2 linked regions of the Oryctolagus cuniculus genome follow. The main gene of each other region encodes a partner of the protein of the gene in region 2 in a complex. Links are inferred from orthologs where the notes say so. Each region holds a gene or a part of one and is shown on either strand. Other genes may lie near its edges.

Region 1 (7,620 bases), on a different chromosome or scaffold from region 2:
TGAGTGCTCAGGATAGAGTTTTATTGTGACTAAGCTGTCTGTCACCTGACAAATGGCTGTGGTCACCCTGATAAATGGGTTGGTCAATTTCAGTTCGTGGAGCTCTCCTTTGTAGTAGGGGCTTCTGATCCAGCCCCTCTGTGGGGAGCTCACACACTGCATACCATGCCATAAAATCAGTTTCTGTCTGTACCCAGGCAAACTCAGGCCCTGGCTTAAGAAGAAACAAAATGCTTGGTGGTGAGGATCCTCTGAATTAAACTGAACTGAGATTTTGCCAAACTCATCTACCCACCCTGAAAAAGCCTAGAGTATATTTTTGCCATAATTCGTGATGTTGTCTGCTTTTTACTGAGGCACGTTTTCTTTGAAATGTAGGTACCCTTCTCAGAATTGAAGAAGAAAAATTACGGTTAAATCTTATGGGTTAAACTCTAATCTTAACGTGTTTTCAGTTCAATCCTGAGAGGAAAGTATTCCTTGAATGAAAAAAACCTCATTAATGTTGATGATAAGGAAAAGATTTAAAAAAATGTTAATGGTGGTGATTTCCTCTAAAGATGCATGCCTTTTTCACATACAGTAAGTGACAGTTGCAAAATGCTTATTTTTCTGAAATCAAATTAGTGCTCCAATTTTTAGTTTTTCACATACAAGAGACCTTGTTTATGGAAAAATTCTATGTGAATTGGTAACTTACAACTAAATGCCAGATATTTCAGTTTTCCCATAGAAATCATAATTGAAAGAAATGGAATACTCATGGTTCTTTTCTGTATGAAAAATGTAGAATCATTATCATTTGTTAATCCTGGAGTGTTTATATTTATGCTGGGGAACCTCCTCCCTCTTCCCTTGTCAGTGGTGGGACCTGGGGCCTTGCGTGTGGTACGGATTGTGTGTGTGTGTGTGTGTGTGTGTGTAATCACTCTTGGCTGCATGCTGACTTTGGCTAACCCGGCTGTCGAATTTCAAAATCTCCTTTCCTCTTCAGCTTCTCATCTCTGTGCTGCCTTTGAGTTGCCGCTGTGTGGCTGCATAGGCATGTTGAGTGTTCTCCTGTAAGATTCACCCGGTAATATGTTCCCTTCATTTAGAAGGAACCACACTGAAAATGTGAATGTGTGTCTTTGTTAAAAGGCCAAAATTTGGCATATATTTATAAAATGATTTTTAAAAATGGTCTCTTTATAGTCTAAGAATTCATTGTTATGCCTGTTGCTAGCCAATTATTTTTAATTTGGCTTTTTGAGGTTTGAAGATCAGGAAACAGCAGAAGGAAGAGGTTTAAACCTCTTTGTCAAGGCGTCTTTGATCGTGACAGTTGAGAGACGAGAGAAAGTGTGTGTGTGTGTGTGTGTGTGTGTGTACTTTAAAACAAGAGAGCATGTCAGGGTTCTTAAAATGACTCAGTTTATCTTTTTTTCTGTCCAAAATAACTTCTGAATCTTTCCTTCCACATCTAAATGTAAATACAGGATTTAGTAAGTTAATTAGTAAAATGGTAATTAAATACTTTAAAACAATTGTCTAAATGGCACAAAAATCAACATGTCCATTACAAGTCGGAGTGGGGATGTATGATAAAAAGTCGGTGTAATTATTTAGTATTCATTTCACTGTAATGAGACTTTTTTACAGTCACTTGGATTGTTTAAATATATTAAAGAGACACTCTGCTTATTAGAATTACATAAAGGGTGCTGATAAGCATGATATAGACTTTGATAATAGCTACTAACCCAGGCAAAAACTCTTGAAGAAGAGTGTTTAATGTTTATCAGTCTTAGCATACATGAAATTCTACTTCCCACACTGGCAGTAGATTGTAGATTTGAGTAAATACCAAATTTAACATACAAGAGAACTTTGCTGTCTCCTTTGAAGCAGCAAGCCAGTTGTGGAGCGTGGGATGGAGAGCAGTGATCAAACAGGTATTGATCTGTATCTGTTTCTGCTCAATAGTTTCTTTCCAAACTGTTTTCAGTAGAAAAAAATAGCACATGGAGACCTTAGTGTAAATGTTTACACACAACAGTATATAATTACATACATGAAATGTCTTATTTTGAAGTAAGCATTTTTAGACTTTCCAACAGTTGTGCAAATTAACGTGAGCATTGCTTCATTTAACACTTAAAATATGATTTCATTTAAAAAATTAAAAATACTTCAACACTTCAAAAACTAAGTCTCCACTTGGTTGGAAAATTAGGCTTAATGTCATCATTGGTAAAAATTAGGCATGTATGCAGCCCCTACTATGCAACAGAGGTGACTTATCTGCTGGGCGTTCTGGTGCCGGGTAGGTGTTAGACTTCACATTCTTTGTATGGCAGCTGCTGACACTTGCACTGTCCGTAACCATTAATGATGATGAAGGGTCCTTCATGGGTGGGTTCATACTCATTATACGGTCCTTGGTCTGACATGTTTGACATATGGAGTCGTGTTTGGGATCGGAGCTGCCTGTGGTTCTGAATCATTGAGCACTGCCTAATTCTTCTTAAAGTGGGAGGGCAGCACTTCCTGGAGATGAACACTATAAAAATAATAAAAAAGAAAGAAAACAATAAAGCCATTGTTCCTGTAATTACCCGCTGAGTGAAGATGGCATTGTCTGGTTCAGGAAAGTGTTCCTCGGTAGTAACTGCTATGCCTGCAGTAGTTGGGATTTCTTTGTCTCCCACATGGTAACTTGAGGAGCTTATTCTTCTTGTATATTCAGTGGTTGGATCTCTGTAAGTTGTAGCCATGGCAGTGACAGTGGTTGATAAATTCCAGCAGAGCTGAAACCCATGGACTGCATCTAAGATATCCTCTCCTTGGGTGTGGTCAGGGCTGTGGCATAGGATGGAATGTTCCCACCGACCTTGGAAACTGCCCAGCCAGGAGGCCAGAGCGCATATTCGGGGGCTGCATTCCCACAGATTGCCAGAGAGGCCAACGGTGGTGAGGGACTTGAGGGAGTTTAAGATCTTGGAATCAAGGCTGTTTAACTTGTTGTTATCCATGAGGAGTATTTTAAGATTAGGCATTGTTTCAAACACTGTCAAGTCAATGGCTTTGATTTCATTTCCAGTCAGGTCCAGCTTTTCTAAAGTGCCCCAGGTCCACTCCATCCCACACGTCAAGTTGCTGATTTTGTTCCACTGTAAGAAGAGCGTGTGCAGACTGCTTAGCCGCAGGAAATGAGCAAAATTAATCTTGGTCAGCTGGTTGTGCTCCAGGTGAAGCTCTCGCAGTTTGATTAATCCTGCAAATCCATTGCGGGCCAAACTTCGCAAACGGTTTGTGCTCAAATCCAGAAACTCGAGACTACGACAGTCCCAGAACAGGCGTACTGGGATAGTCCGCAGGGAGTTGGAACGTAAATGCAAAGTCTGCAACTTCCGAAGGCCATAGAAGAGCTCTGGGTGCAGAGATGACAGCTGATTAAAAGACAGGTCCAAATTTTGCAGGTTAATCAGTTGGGTAAAAGTTGTGTTTGGCAAGTAAAATATTTTGTTGGAACTTAAGATTAATTCTTTAAGTTTATATAGTCCTTGAAAAGCATCTTCTTTTACTGTTGAAATTTGATTGTGGTCTAAGTGGAGCCAGGTAAGTTGACTGAAGCTGGCAAATTGATCTCTTTCGAGCTCTGTGATGTGATTGTGCCTCAGGGACAGGCCCAGGGAGCCCTTGTCTGTGGCGTTTGGCACTGAGTGGAAGCCCTGAGAGTCGCAGTAGAAGAGCAGCTTCTCGCAGCGGCATTTGGGTGGACACGCCATACCCAGGGCAGGCAGCATTTTTAAAATCATACTCATTGCATATATTGCTGCCAGCATAGGGGCCCCTAATGGCCACTTGAAATATAAGCCTGCAGAATATAGTTCAAGAAAAACAAGAAGAGAGGATATCTTTCAGCAGAACGTATGGACTATTAAAACAACAACAACACAACATTATGGTGAAAGATTTCACTGCGTATAACTCATTTTTCATTTACTGCAGAAAAATGATCCTTGTTTGTATGACTGGAACAAAACTTAAACCATTTTAGAATAAGACAGCAATATATGCTTTTATCTAGATTGCAAAATCTCAAAATGTGACAGTGATTTCCTTTATAAAATGTGAATGCAATGGCTTATTTTAAAATGTGATTCCTTGTTGACTGTACAGGACATAGAAATGCACAGACTTACCCATTCTTCTGAGCACATTGGAGGCTGCATTCAGTCGAGGTTGTTAGACTCAACGCAGTGAGTCTGTAAAAGGCTCTACCATGCAGGAGCCTTTGACCAGTGTCCTGTTTTCTGTGTCCCAGGCTTTCTTAGTAAAATTGATCCATCGGTGAGTTGTTTTCTTCCTTAGGATATTCCTCTGGAAAGCATTGGTTTCGTTTTCTCTGACCGCTCTGATCCCCTAAATCAGTTTTGAATGTAAGTTATTAATTTCTTCCTCCTGTGACTGCTCAGTTGGTTAATCAAAGCTTCGGTCTCCCCTTTCCGCAGCCGTTAGTTCTCCCGTCTTAACTTGTTGATGGCAGATGGGCGGCTTGTTGCAGAGAAGAGCTCCTGGAGCAGCATGAGTGCATTTACTGAAAAGCTTTTCCGAGAAACGGCACAAGAATGGATTTGCTTATGTGCTGCGACCACACAGAACTGTATATAGGCTGACGTCACCGGGTGACGTGTCTTTTGTTTGGGTTTTCCAGAAGCTTTACTGTTATAAAGCACTGTGCTTTGTAACAGTATCAGGGTCGTTGCAAGACCCCTGATTACAAAAAAGGGAGAAAGAAGAGCTGCTGACTTAAAAACATGGTATTCCTTCAGTGTAGGAAGCAGCAGTGAGGTTGTAATAAAGGCTGCATTCAAGAAGACCCGTCTGAACAGTGAGTTGGGTAGCAGAGTGATGATTTTTAATGCGTGTGAGAGCCAGTGTTAGACCGCCGATTCTGCATAGAGAGATCATCTAAACGGGCAGAAGCCTGTGCAATTTATGAAGTGCTGATTTAACGCCAGCCTGTGCAAGATAGTGCTGCTGTTCTGGTAGTTTGGAAAGCTGCTCAATTGCCTTGCTGTCATGCTTGGTTAAAATCAAAGTATGACTGTGATTTGCTGTAGATGTGTTGGTAAACTAGCTAAGTGGGCTTGGCTTCTTTGTCATTAAGAGCTTAACATCATAAACCAAGAATAAAGGGGAGAGAGAAAGCTTGCAAAAGAAAAGCATTTTTTTTTCTGTTGAGAATTTCAGGGGAATTCTAATTAAATCTGTCCTATTCTATGACAAGGTTTTATCACCATGCTGATTGAAAAATAATGGTTGTTGATCATTGGATGTTCTGTTAGGAGAAAGGGGCTATAGTCATTTTAATGCACGCGCTCTGCGATTTATCAGCGGAGCAGAGATGATTCAGGACAAGTGGTGCAGCATGGCTGGATTCTGACACAGTCTCACTTGTGTTTACCTCCGACTCCCATCTCTTCCATCACTGAAAGCCTCAGCTGGCGGTGTTGGGGAAGGAGGGCGCTGGGGGAGGGCTGCAGTCACAGAGCACTTGCTCACTGGTTCCTGCTGGCCCACCTAAGAACTGACCTTGGGCTCTCTAACACCTTTTTGTTGGAATCTCTTGTAAATGAAAAGGTCTTATTAGTCCTTTGGAATAGGATTTGTGTGTTGGTTTGTTGTTTCGCTTGACCTGTCTGTAGCTTCTGTGTCCAATAGCGACATGACTTTTCAGACCTCTGTTAGGAATGTGCAGTTCCATGTTTAGTGTTACGTAAACACCAGAGGTTTTTCTGTGTGAATCAGTGTTGCATTTTACACATCTCGTGTTGCTACTTTGACCCTACACATCTGTTTCTCCCATCCCATTGGCACTTAGCCTTGGTAGATCTTGAATTGGACCTGAAGGCAGAACCCTCAAAAATTACCCATGGTGTCTGTGATTTGAGACCGGCGGTTGTCTGTTGGCTTCCGAAGGCTTCATCCCACTGGATGACTTTAAAAAATGTGGTGTTAAGGGGTGAACCTTTTGTGTTGGAGTGGAAAGGTGGAATGAGAACGGGCAGACCCTGAGGTCCCTCCTGTAGGGCCCTGTGGAAGTTGTGGCACTGCAGGTGTGTAGCTTGAGTCCTCCTAGAAGGGACCCCATCATGGGATTAGAAGTTCAAGAACTTTAATTGGGGGGAAATACCTGGAAAACACAGAGGGAAAGAGAAGGCAAAACAGGAATCCTCTGAGAACCTTATTACTGTGAAGCAGATCAGGCCCTCGTGCAGGGGGAGAAGGGAAGCTTCGGCAGGCGGTCTCAGAGTGCCTACAGTTCTCAGTGCTGCCAGAGTTGCTGTGCGTGGGGTCCTGCAGCTTTACTGGTGAGCCTGCGCTACTACTCCTGTCATGTTCCTCCTCTATAGTTAAGGAACAGAGGAGGAGAGAGACCCCAAGGATGCTGCTCCCCACTGATTTTGATCCTTTCTATAGTGCCATAGGGTGGAAGTTCTTAACCTGGGTCCATACCATAGACTGGCTTGGGAAATTTTTTTGCTTGCTCTTTTTTTTCTGTGGATAAGGTTTACTCAGATTCCCTGGGTTTCAGAAACACTGTTCTACAGGAACTTGATCCCAAAAGTTCCGAAGAGAGCAATCTCATGGAAGTAGCCTCTCAATTTTTCTTTAACCTTTTTTAATGAAAAGAAGACCTTGAGATGTTGTAAATGCTCTTACTGAAGTCAGCTGCCCTCTGATGAGGAAAGCCTTTGCCATGTAGGAGAAGTGGGTGGAGGAAAGCATTTGAATCTGTTGGATGATAGCAGCTACAGTTAGGAGTGTATTATACGAGAAAATTCAGGACAAGCATCTGGTCCCTCTTAGACTCTTGTTTCTTTTCTGCTTTCTAGTCTACTTGGCCTACCTGGTATATACGAATAAATAGGAGCTACTTCAGTTATTGCCTCAGCTCTCTTAGGGGCGAGGAAAATCGCTCAGAGAAGTGCGAATGCAGTTGAGTAGTTATTTTTTGATGCCCCTGCAGAAGTGGGCAGCACTGCCTACTCTCTTACAGTGCCCAGGGAGCACAGCTCCTTCCAGGTCACTAGCCATTCTCCTCACTCGCCCACTCTTGGGGTTCAGATGTTCAGGCTGTGAAACAAAGAAGACACAATGTTTGCCTTACAGTCGGTGGGATGCACAGTTCCCGTTGATGGAGTTTTATCATTTTTTGGTCTTTATCTTTCTTTAACTAAAAGGGCTAAGTAAATGCCCTTGTTTTTTCTGAACTCAACTTACTCTTGGCTTCACATTAAAGCAGCTTTATTCCACATACGTATGCCTTTGACTTAATTAAAGTGGCAGTACTACTTCTGAAAGGCGCTATCCGTATCATCTGTTTCAGTTTTGCGTTAGATGTTCCATATACATCTCACCTGTCTACTTTCTGTAAATGGTTTTAAACAAATTAAGGCAAACTCTTGGGCTTAGGGAGCTGTGTTGTATGCATATATGTTGCTTTCCATGCATACTGCTTATTGGGCAGTCACATCTCTATAGGAAGAAGCAGATGCACAGATATATACATGGAACTTTCTATTTCGGCCGGCGCCGCGGCTCAGTAGGCTAATCCTCCGCCTGTGGTGC
Region 2 (7,136 bases):
CTGAAGAAGGCTATCTTTCCTCGTTGTAACTGAGCCAGGATCTGCCACAAATACACGGAGAAGGATGGGTAGTGGGAGGGTGGGGGAGTGTAGATCTTGGTTGTTTTTGCATGAAGGCTTTTAAATGATGACAAGAAGATGAGATGGTGGAGCTGGGGTAGTAAGTTAAAGGCTGAATGCAGTGATTTATTAGCAAAAGAAAGAAACTGGTAGGATGGAAATTAAAGCAATAAAATAGATCTACATCTCTCTTTCCCTTTCTCATCAGTCCCACACTTAATTTGTGCAGAAGCCAGGCTCCAAGAAACTGCACTGGTATCAGAGATGGAGCTTGGTGACTGGGCGGGAAAGCCAGGGAGAATTTTAGATGTTCGTTGGTACTGAGGCACTTTGCAAAATCCAGGGACAAAAGATACACACTTCTAAAATTTCTCCCAGAGGTTTTCAGGCTCTTTATGAGGAAATATATTGCAGGGTGCATGGACAGGTATGAGTGTATGTGTGTGTGTGTGTGTGTGATACCATAAACATATTACAATAAATGCATCTGCAGCTGATGAGTGTACTATATTGATCCTTCCAATGACTTCGGAATGAATTTGATTCTAGAAATGAAAGAACAGATTAATGAGGCTGTTAGTCTGCTTTTGAATTAGAGCGCTTCTTCCTTTGGCTGCAGTAAGGTTGTTTTTCAAATCCTTTTATTTCAGCCTCTAATTTGTGAACTCACCAGGTCTTTCCGGCACCCAGAGAGAATCCTTTTTCTCCATATAAATACTCTCTCACACACAATGAGCTTGTCTAAGAACTAGGAGAGCCAGTTGACCTCCCTTGTGATATATATATATATATATATATTTCCTTTCCTTTCTCCTCCATCTCTTAAAAATTGTCAAGCTATGCATTAGTAGAGGAAGAGGACAAGAGAGAAGGGTGAAAAGGGTTATATGATTTATGTAAAATTAATAAAATAATAGCCTCTCTCTCTCTCTCACACACACACACAGGAAAAAAGGCTTTCCAACACATGAGCTAGAGGATGGGGTTTAAAGCAATACTCTTCATCATAATGTTCAAGATTGATTTAGGAAATAACTAAAAATTTAACAGTTATCTGAATACAGTTAAAAATGAAAGCCTATTGGACAATATGTTATTTTCAATGATTTTTAAGAGCACCTTTCTTTGGTTTGGCATAGGAGTAGACACGATATGACTGGTGATTGCTGATGGTGTTGAGTGTATGAGCCATAATAAATAACATATTTTTTATTTCTTCTGCTCATTGGCAGTGTTTGTCTGTGTGTGCGTGCTGAAAGGCAGCCTCAGTCATCAATTTCATCTGGGAGGAACTTGAAGTGGGATCCCCGAGCTTGGTGGATCTCAGCTGACACCTGTAGGGATTGCTCTGTACTGAAGAGAAATGCTCTTAGCTCCCTCCATGGAGGAGCAGCAGCACAATGCGGCGTCATAAATTACTGCTAGTTTCAGCTTGTAGAGAAAAAAAAAGTGTTAATTGGATAGTGAGCTTCTGTGTCCAGGCAATACATTTGGAGTGCATATATGTGTGTCTCTATGTTGCATGGGATGGAGACAGTGGGAAATGGTGAAGGAAATACATGCAGTTGCTTAATATGACCAGATGATACAATACTGAGTTTTTTTTTTTTTCTTTATGTGAGTGTAATTGTTCCTGGTAGAAGAGTGACTTTAGTTAAAAAATCTATATTTATGATTTCTGTACCATTTCAAGAACCTGTCAGATTAGAGTTGAATAAAGAGAAGTAATTTACTAGTATAGTGAGTGATTCAATGGCATCGCTTTAAATTCTAGCATCCTAGAGTCATAGCAGCTGAGGTGACATACATGCCAACTGCTGTTCTGACATACAAATTCTAAGGCCTGACATCAAGATAAGGACTTTAAGGGGAGTTAGATCATTTTACTAATGGGTAAAATATTACATAGTTTACCCAGATTTAGAGAAAATAATATTATGGCAATTGAGATGTTAACCCCTGCCCCCTCCCCGCAAAATAAACAAATAAAAAGTAGCTCCAATTAGGAGATTTCTCTTATAAAAGATTATCCCTTTGATAAAGAAGGAAGAATGCACTTATTTGAAATTCTAAGAGACTCTCAGGAAACCATCAATATTCCTGCTCCCTCTCAGAAAAATGAAATGGTAGGAATGCTATACAAATCTAAACTGGCAGCCTCCTGCCGACAGTTTGATCTACTTTGCCTTTTGTAAAACCTGCTATTAACTGAGATTTGAATAGGTTGTATTTTTACTGTCTATGTATCCAGCACACAATACAGGTAGAAATCCTTAAAAGGACCTTTTTTTCTCTCCTTGTACATTTTGAAAATTAAACTTTCTTGGAAAAGGAAAAATAAAAGATCGCCATAATTAAATCTCTATTTAAAACCTGGTTACCTATTAACAGTTACAATAAACTACAAGGTGTAATGGCTGTTTGTGTGACTAGCAAACATTAAGCCTTATTTGTAGGCCAAGAGAAGAAAAAAAGCTCTATACAGTACAGCTTATTCATAGCATACATTCATACTTGCCTTATAATACTGTAATTGATTTAAACTTTATTTTTATTTTAATTTTCCACAGATTTCTGGGTCCTTCTAAAAAGACAATATCAAAATGTATCATCAACACACAACCAACTGATAGCTGGCATCTCAGCTTGGCCTTGCAGAGGCGGAGAACAAAGAAGGGGAGCTGTTGTGATGTGCACATCTAACAGCTTCTGGGTCTGAGTCCTACTGCTGGGGAGGTTTAAGAGCTGTAAAATCCAGCCTGGGAGGCCATGCACAAGACTTCAGTGTCAGCTGCTGTGGTGCTGGAAGTCCATGATATGACAGAAGCTGCAGGCCTTTGGGGTTAACAAGTGGTGTCCTCACGGAGGCAAGGAACCCCTCTCTCCGTTGTTTGAGACATTCCATCTGGAGGAGAAATACCGGAGGCATTCAGAACATCCAAGGATATTCTTGAGATTCCCCGAGAAAAGTGTCTGCTCCCGACTTCCTCTAACGCTTTTCCCTTCTGCTGGTACCAGTGGTGGGGCCTGGCAGATGATGGTGTTTCAGAAGTGAGGTATCTGCAGGGCAGATGACCTTAAACTAGTTCATCAGACTCAGATGGACCAGTGACGTCCCTGGTCTTCTGTTGACGCCTGTAACAGAACGGTGCCTCCAAAGTGTATCCTCCCTTTGGTCTGGAAGTTCTGTGGCTGCCCTGGACCACTGGGGTCACCCCTGTCCAGTTGGAAGGGGGCTGTTGGGAGAGAGGGAGGGGCTGCTGGAAGAAGAAGACAAGACCTAGAGAAAGGAGGGTGCCTCCTCCCGCGCCGCGACTGCTCTTCCTCTGCTGCGGACCCCTATTTCTTCACCACGGTGTCCAGGACCACCTTGACCCTGTCGGCCCCGGCACCCCCCCGCCGCACCCCAGCCCCGAGCATGGGGACGGCGCTTCTCCAGCGCGGGGGCTGCTTCCTGCTGTGCCTCTCGCTGCTGCTGCTGGGCTGCTGGGCTGAGCTGGGCAGCGGCCTGGAGTTTCCGGGCGCCGAGGGCCAGTGGACGCGCTTCCCCAAGTGGAACGCGTGCTGCGAAAGCGAGATGAGCTTCCAGCTCAAGACGCGCAGCGCCCGCGGCCTCGTGCTGTACTTCGACGACGAGGGCTTCTGCGACTTCCTCGAGCTCATCCTGACGCGCGGTGGCCGCCTGCAGCTCAGCTTCTCCATCTTCTGCGCCGAGCCCGCCACGCTCCTGGCCGACACGCCGGTCAACGACGGCGCCTGGCACAGCGTGCGCATACGCCGCCAGTTCCGCAACACCACGCTCTACATCGACCAGGTGGAGGCCAAGTGGGTGGAGGTCAAGTCCAAACGCCGGGACATGACGGTGTTCAGCGGCCTCTTCGTCGGGGGGCTGCCCCCGGAACTGCGTGCGGCCGCGCTCAAGCTCACGCTGGCCTCGGTGAGAGAGCGGGAGCCGTTTAAAGGGTGGATCCGTGACGTCAGGGTCAACTCCTCACAGGCCCTGCCCGTGGACAGCGGCGAGGTGAAGCTGGACGACGAGCCGCCCAGCAGCGGCGGCGGGAGCCCGTGCGAGGCGGGCGAGGAGGGCGAGGGCGGCGTGTGCCTCAACGGAGGCGTGTGCTCCGTGGTGGACGACCAGGCGGTGTGCGACTGCTCGCGGACCGGCTTCCGCGGCAAGGACTGCAGCCAAGGTAAGGCCCGACGCCCGCCGCACGGGGGCCCTCGGCCGGGGCAGGGCGCGGGGCGGCGGGGCGGGCCGGGCCAGGCCAGTGCATGGGGCCTTCCTTCTCCGGACAGCGCGTGGGGGCTGCTGCCCCGGAGGTGCAGGCCTGGTTCTACGGCCCCTTGGACTCACCACTTACCACCGCTCCTTGCTTGGCGCCCTCACGGTAGTGGAGCAGCCTTTTCGACTGGGAGCCCTTTCTTGCAAGCCTGCTTCCCTCCCAGAGGCCAGCAGAATGGCCTCTTGTCATTCCTGGGGTTCTTAGGAGCGATGGGCTCAGTCTTTCTTGGCCCGTTGCCCACCTAAATGGCCAGTAGACTTCCCTCTAGTACCTTTAAATCCGTACCCCCGGAGACTTTGCCCATAAGGGCAGACAGGCGTCTATGAGACTGGGTATGAACTTGGTGGAAAATGAAGTGCAGGCGAGGTTCACCTGGGCCTTAGTTGAGAATTCCCACGTGGTTACTCCTGTTAGAGAGAGAGAGAGAAAAACACGGGTTCACAGGCACTTGCTGTGGCTTTTGCAAACAGGGCTGAGACACTTGCTTTTGGTTGTGAATACAAGGCAGGAGGGGCTGTGAAGATTTCTTCATTAACAAGAGGATGTTTTCTGGACTTAGTGTTGGTTTCCATGGTTATGTCCAACATGTGTCAAATTTAAGTAAAATTTTGTGATTTCTGCGGTTTCTTGAATTCTGAGAGGTCAGCTAATGTTTTCTGAGAGCTTAGTGATGAAATAACAGGCTTCTCAATTACCCAGTGTGTTGGAAGAGAAATAGAATTAGATGTTGCTGAATTGGGAAAGTTCTGCAGGTTAACAAATGGGATGCATGAGAGGGATTGCAGGAGATTTTCTAAGAATATTCAGCTGATGGTATTGATCTGAGTAGTGAAGGCCGAGTTGCAATTTCCGGGTTCTTGGGCTTGAAACAGTGTGGAACTAAACAACAGAAATCATCCCGAAGTTTGCTACATCCCCTGTACAATTAAAGTTCAGGTCTCAGTGTTTTTCTCCCATGTTGTTACAAGACAATGATCAAGGAAAGCATTGTTGAATAAATTTGGGAAAACCTTTAAATAGAGAGTGATGAGAAAAACTTGAAACATGTTTGTATCAGTGGCTAAGCAAGAGAGAAGGTGTCAGGGTTTAAATAAAATAGCAAATGGGTCACATCATGGCAATCTACCTATGGATGAATGGCATTTGTGGCTGAAATGGGGAGGTGTGTGAATTGCTAAAAAGCCACAGGGAGAGAAGCTCAATGTGTGACTGTGCTTTATGGTGTAATGCCTTGAGCCTTGAGTTTCCTTTCTTTTTTTCTTGTCCTTTCTTTCTTTCTTTTTTCTTTTTGTTGTTGTTGTTGTTGTTGACACTGCTAGGGAGAACTAGCCTTTGTAAATCTTATTAGACTTGGCAGTTCTCTCTCACTTGATTCTCACTTGATTTTCAGAGAAATGAAGACTTGATGAAATTTGCAATTGTTTAAGCAGCAAAGGGAGTTAGTTAGGAAAAAACTGATCTTTAGGAGAGCTCAGTAGCCTTCATTGGATCAGAGGGGGGAAAAAGTTAAGAGTTATTTTTTTGCATTTTACTTTCGTGTAGGTTTTTGTTTTCTTTATATTTTAGTTTTAAGTAATTATAGAAGACTGAATATTTGGCCAGCACAGCACTTCAGTTTTACCAGTATGTTCCCATGGATGTAAGACCAGAATTCATATTTACGTTTTACAAAAATAAAACAGAATCCTTTTTTTCCTACCAAATCTAACTTAATTGTAAATCGTGACAAGGATAGCCAGATATGATGATTTCTAGAGCAAAAACTTGCAGTTGCATACATTTAAGATAAATGAATAAAAATCATTTTAGGGGAAAAAATGTCTGAAGTATCCTAATGCCACATTCCAAGACAGAGGAGGCAATTTAAAGAAGGACACACAATATCTAACTCCCTTTCTTAAATTAGGAAACAAATATGACACAGTGGCAGCTTGTACTGTGTGGGAGGGTATTTTAAATGAAAATTTTTATTTTTCTGTGCATTTTTAATGTAGGGATCCAGGGACCATGCATAATCAGGAATAGTTAAGAGAAAGCATCTAAAAAGAAACATATTAAAGAGGAACAGAATTAAATGTATGTGAAACATTTTATTTTGATAAATGAATCTCTTGCTATAAAAGGAGGAATTTGTAATTACAGTGGTACCTAATTGAACAGTGTAATACCTCATATATAAGAAAATTTGACCCAGAAAAGCAAATCCATCAGGATCACTCTGGAGCATTGATTCATTTAGAAAATTTAACTTGAAAACAGAGTGCAAAAATCACTAATCATGGAAGGGAAACAAAAGGGTGGATTCTTCCGATGCTCTGAGAAATGGAAGATGGAGTGGGAAAGGCAGACTCGGTCTTCCCAGAAGGATTGGCTCCATTTTGCTTATTTTCCCTGTTTCATGTGTGTCAAGTGGCTATTGAATAATTAATTGAGAATGAATGCCTCTCCCAGCACCGATCATGTATTGATGGTTAGGGAAAGATGATTTCTGTTCAGATGAAGTATAAACAAAGCCCTGCCTCCTGTCAGTATTTATACTAATTGCTGCATTCTTTATAAAAAATAGTTTCAAAATAAATAATTCCTCAATTCCAAATTTAGCAGAGAGAATTTAGGGGAAAATGTAGACAAGTAAATCTTAAATGTGAGTTCAAATTATCCCTGTTCCTAACAACAATTTCTTTATTAACTTGATAGGAGAAAGTCTAACAATATATTAGTTGCCTTTGTATTTAAGACACAATAAGAACTACTGAAAGGACAATAAGAATATATTAAGACTCTTCCCTGGTT

Evidence for each region. The genes of interacting proteins can lie anywhere in the genome.
Region 1: the proteins of NRXN1 (region 2) and LRRTM2 are in contact, whole or in part, in a crystal structure (PDB 5Z8Y), measured with the Homo sapiens proteins. The link is inferred for Oryctolagus cuniculus from reciprocal best matches to the Homo sapiens genes NRXN1 and LRRTM2. Residues at the interface, in NP_001317021.1 of Homo sapiens: Leu139, Val158, Thr160, Arg236, Gln237, Leu238, Thr239, Ile240, Asn242; in NP_056379.1 of Homo sapiens: Asp343, His344, Gln346, Gly347, Glu348, Leu351, Asp352, Ala353, Gly356, Phe357.

Annotation. Positions count from the first base shown.
Region 1 is NC_091437.1:26,630,940-26,638,559, forward strand, and holds LRRTM2 (leucine-rich repeat transmembrane neuronal protein 2), read right to left. Parts: upstream 4,326-7,620; 5' UTR 4,192-4,325; coding exon 4,188-4,191; intron 3,860-4,187; coding exon 2,313-3,859; 3' UTR 1,757-2,312; downstream 1-1,756. UniProt on the Homo sapiens protein: Involved in the development and maintenance of excitatory synapses in the vertebrate nervous system. Regulates surface expression of AMPA receptors and instructs the development of functional glutamate release sites.
Region 2 is NC_091433.1:151,720,485-151,727,620, forward strand, and holds part of NRXN1 (neurexin-1), read left to right. Parts: intron 1-2,630; 5' UTR 2,631-3,478; coding exon 3,479-4,250; intron 4,251-7,136.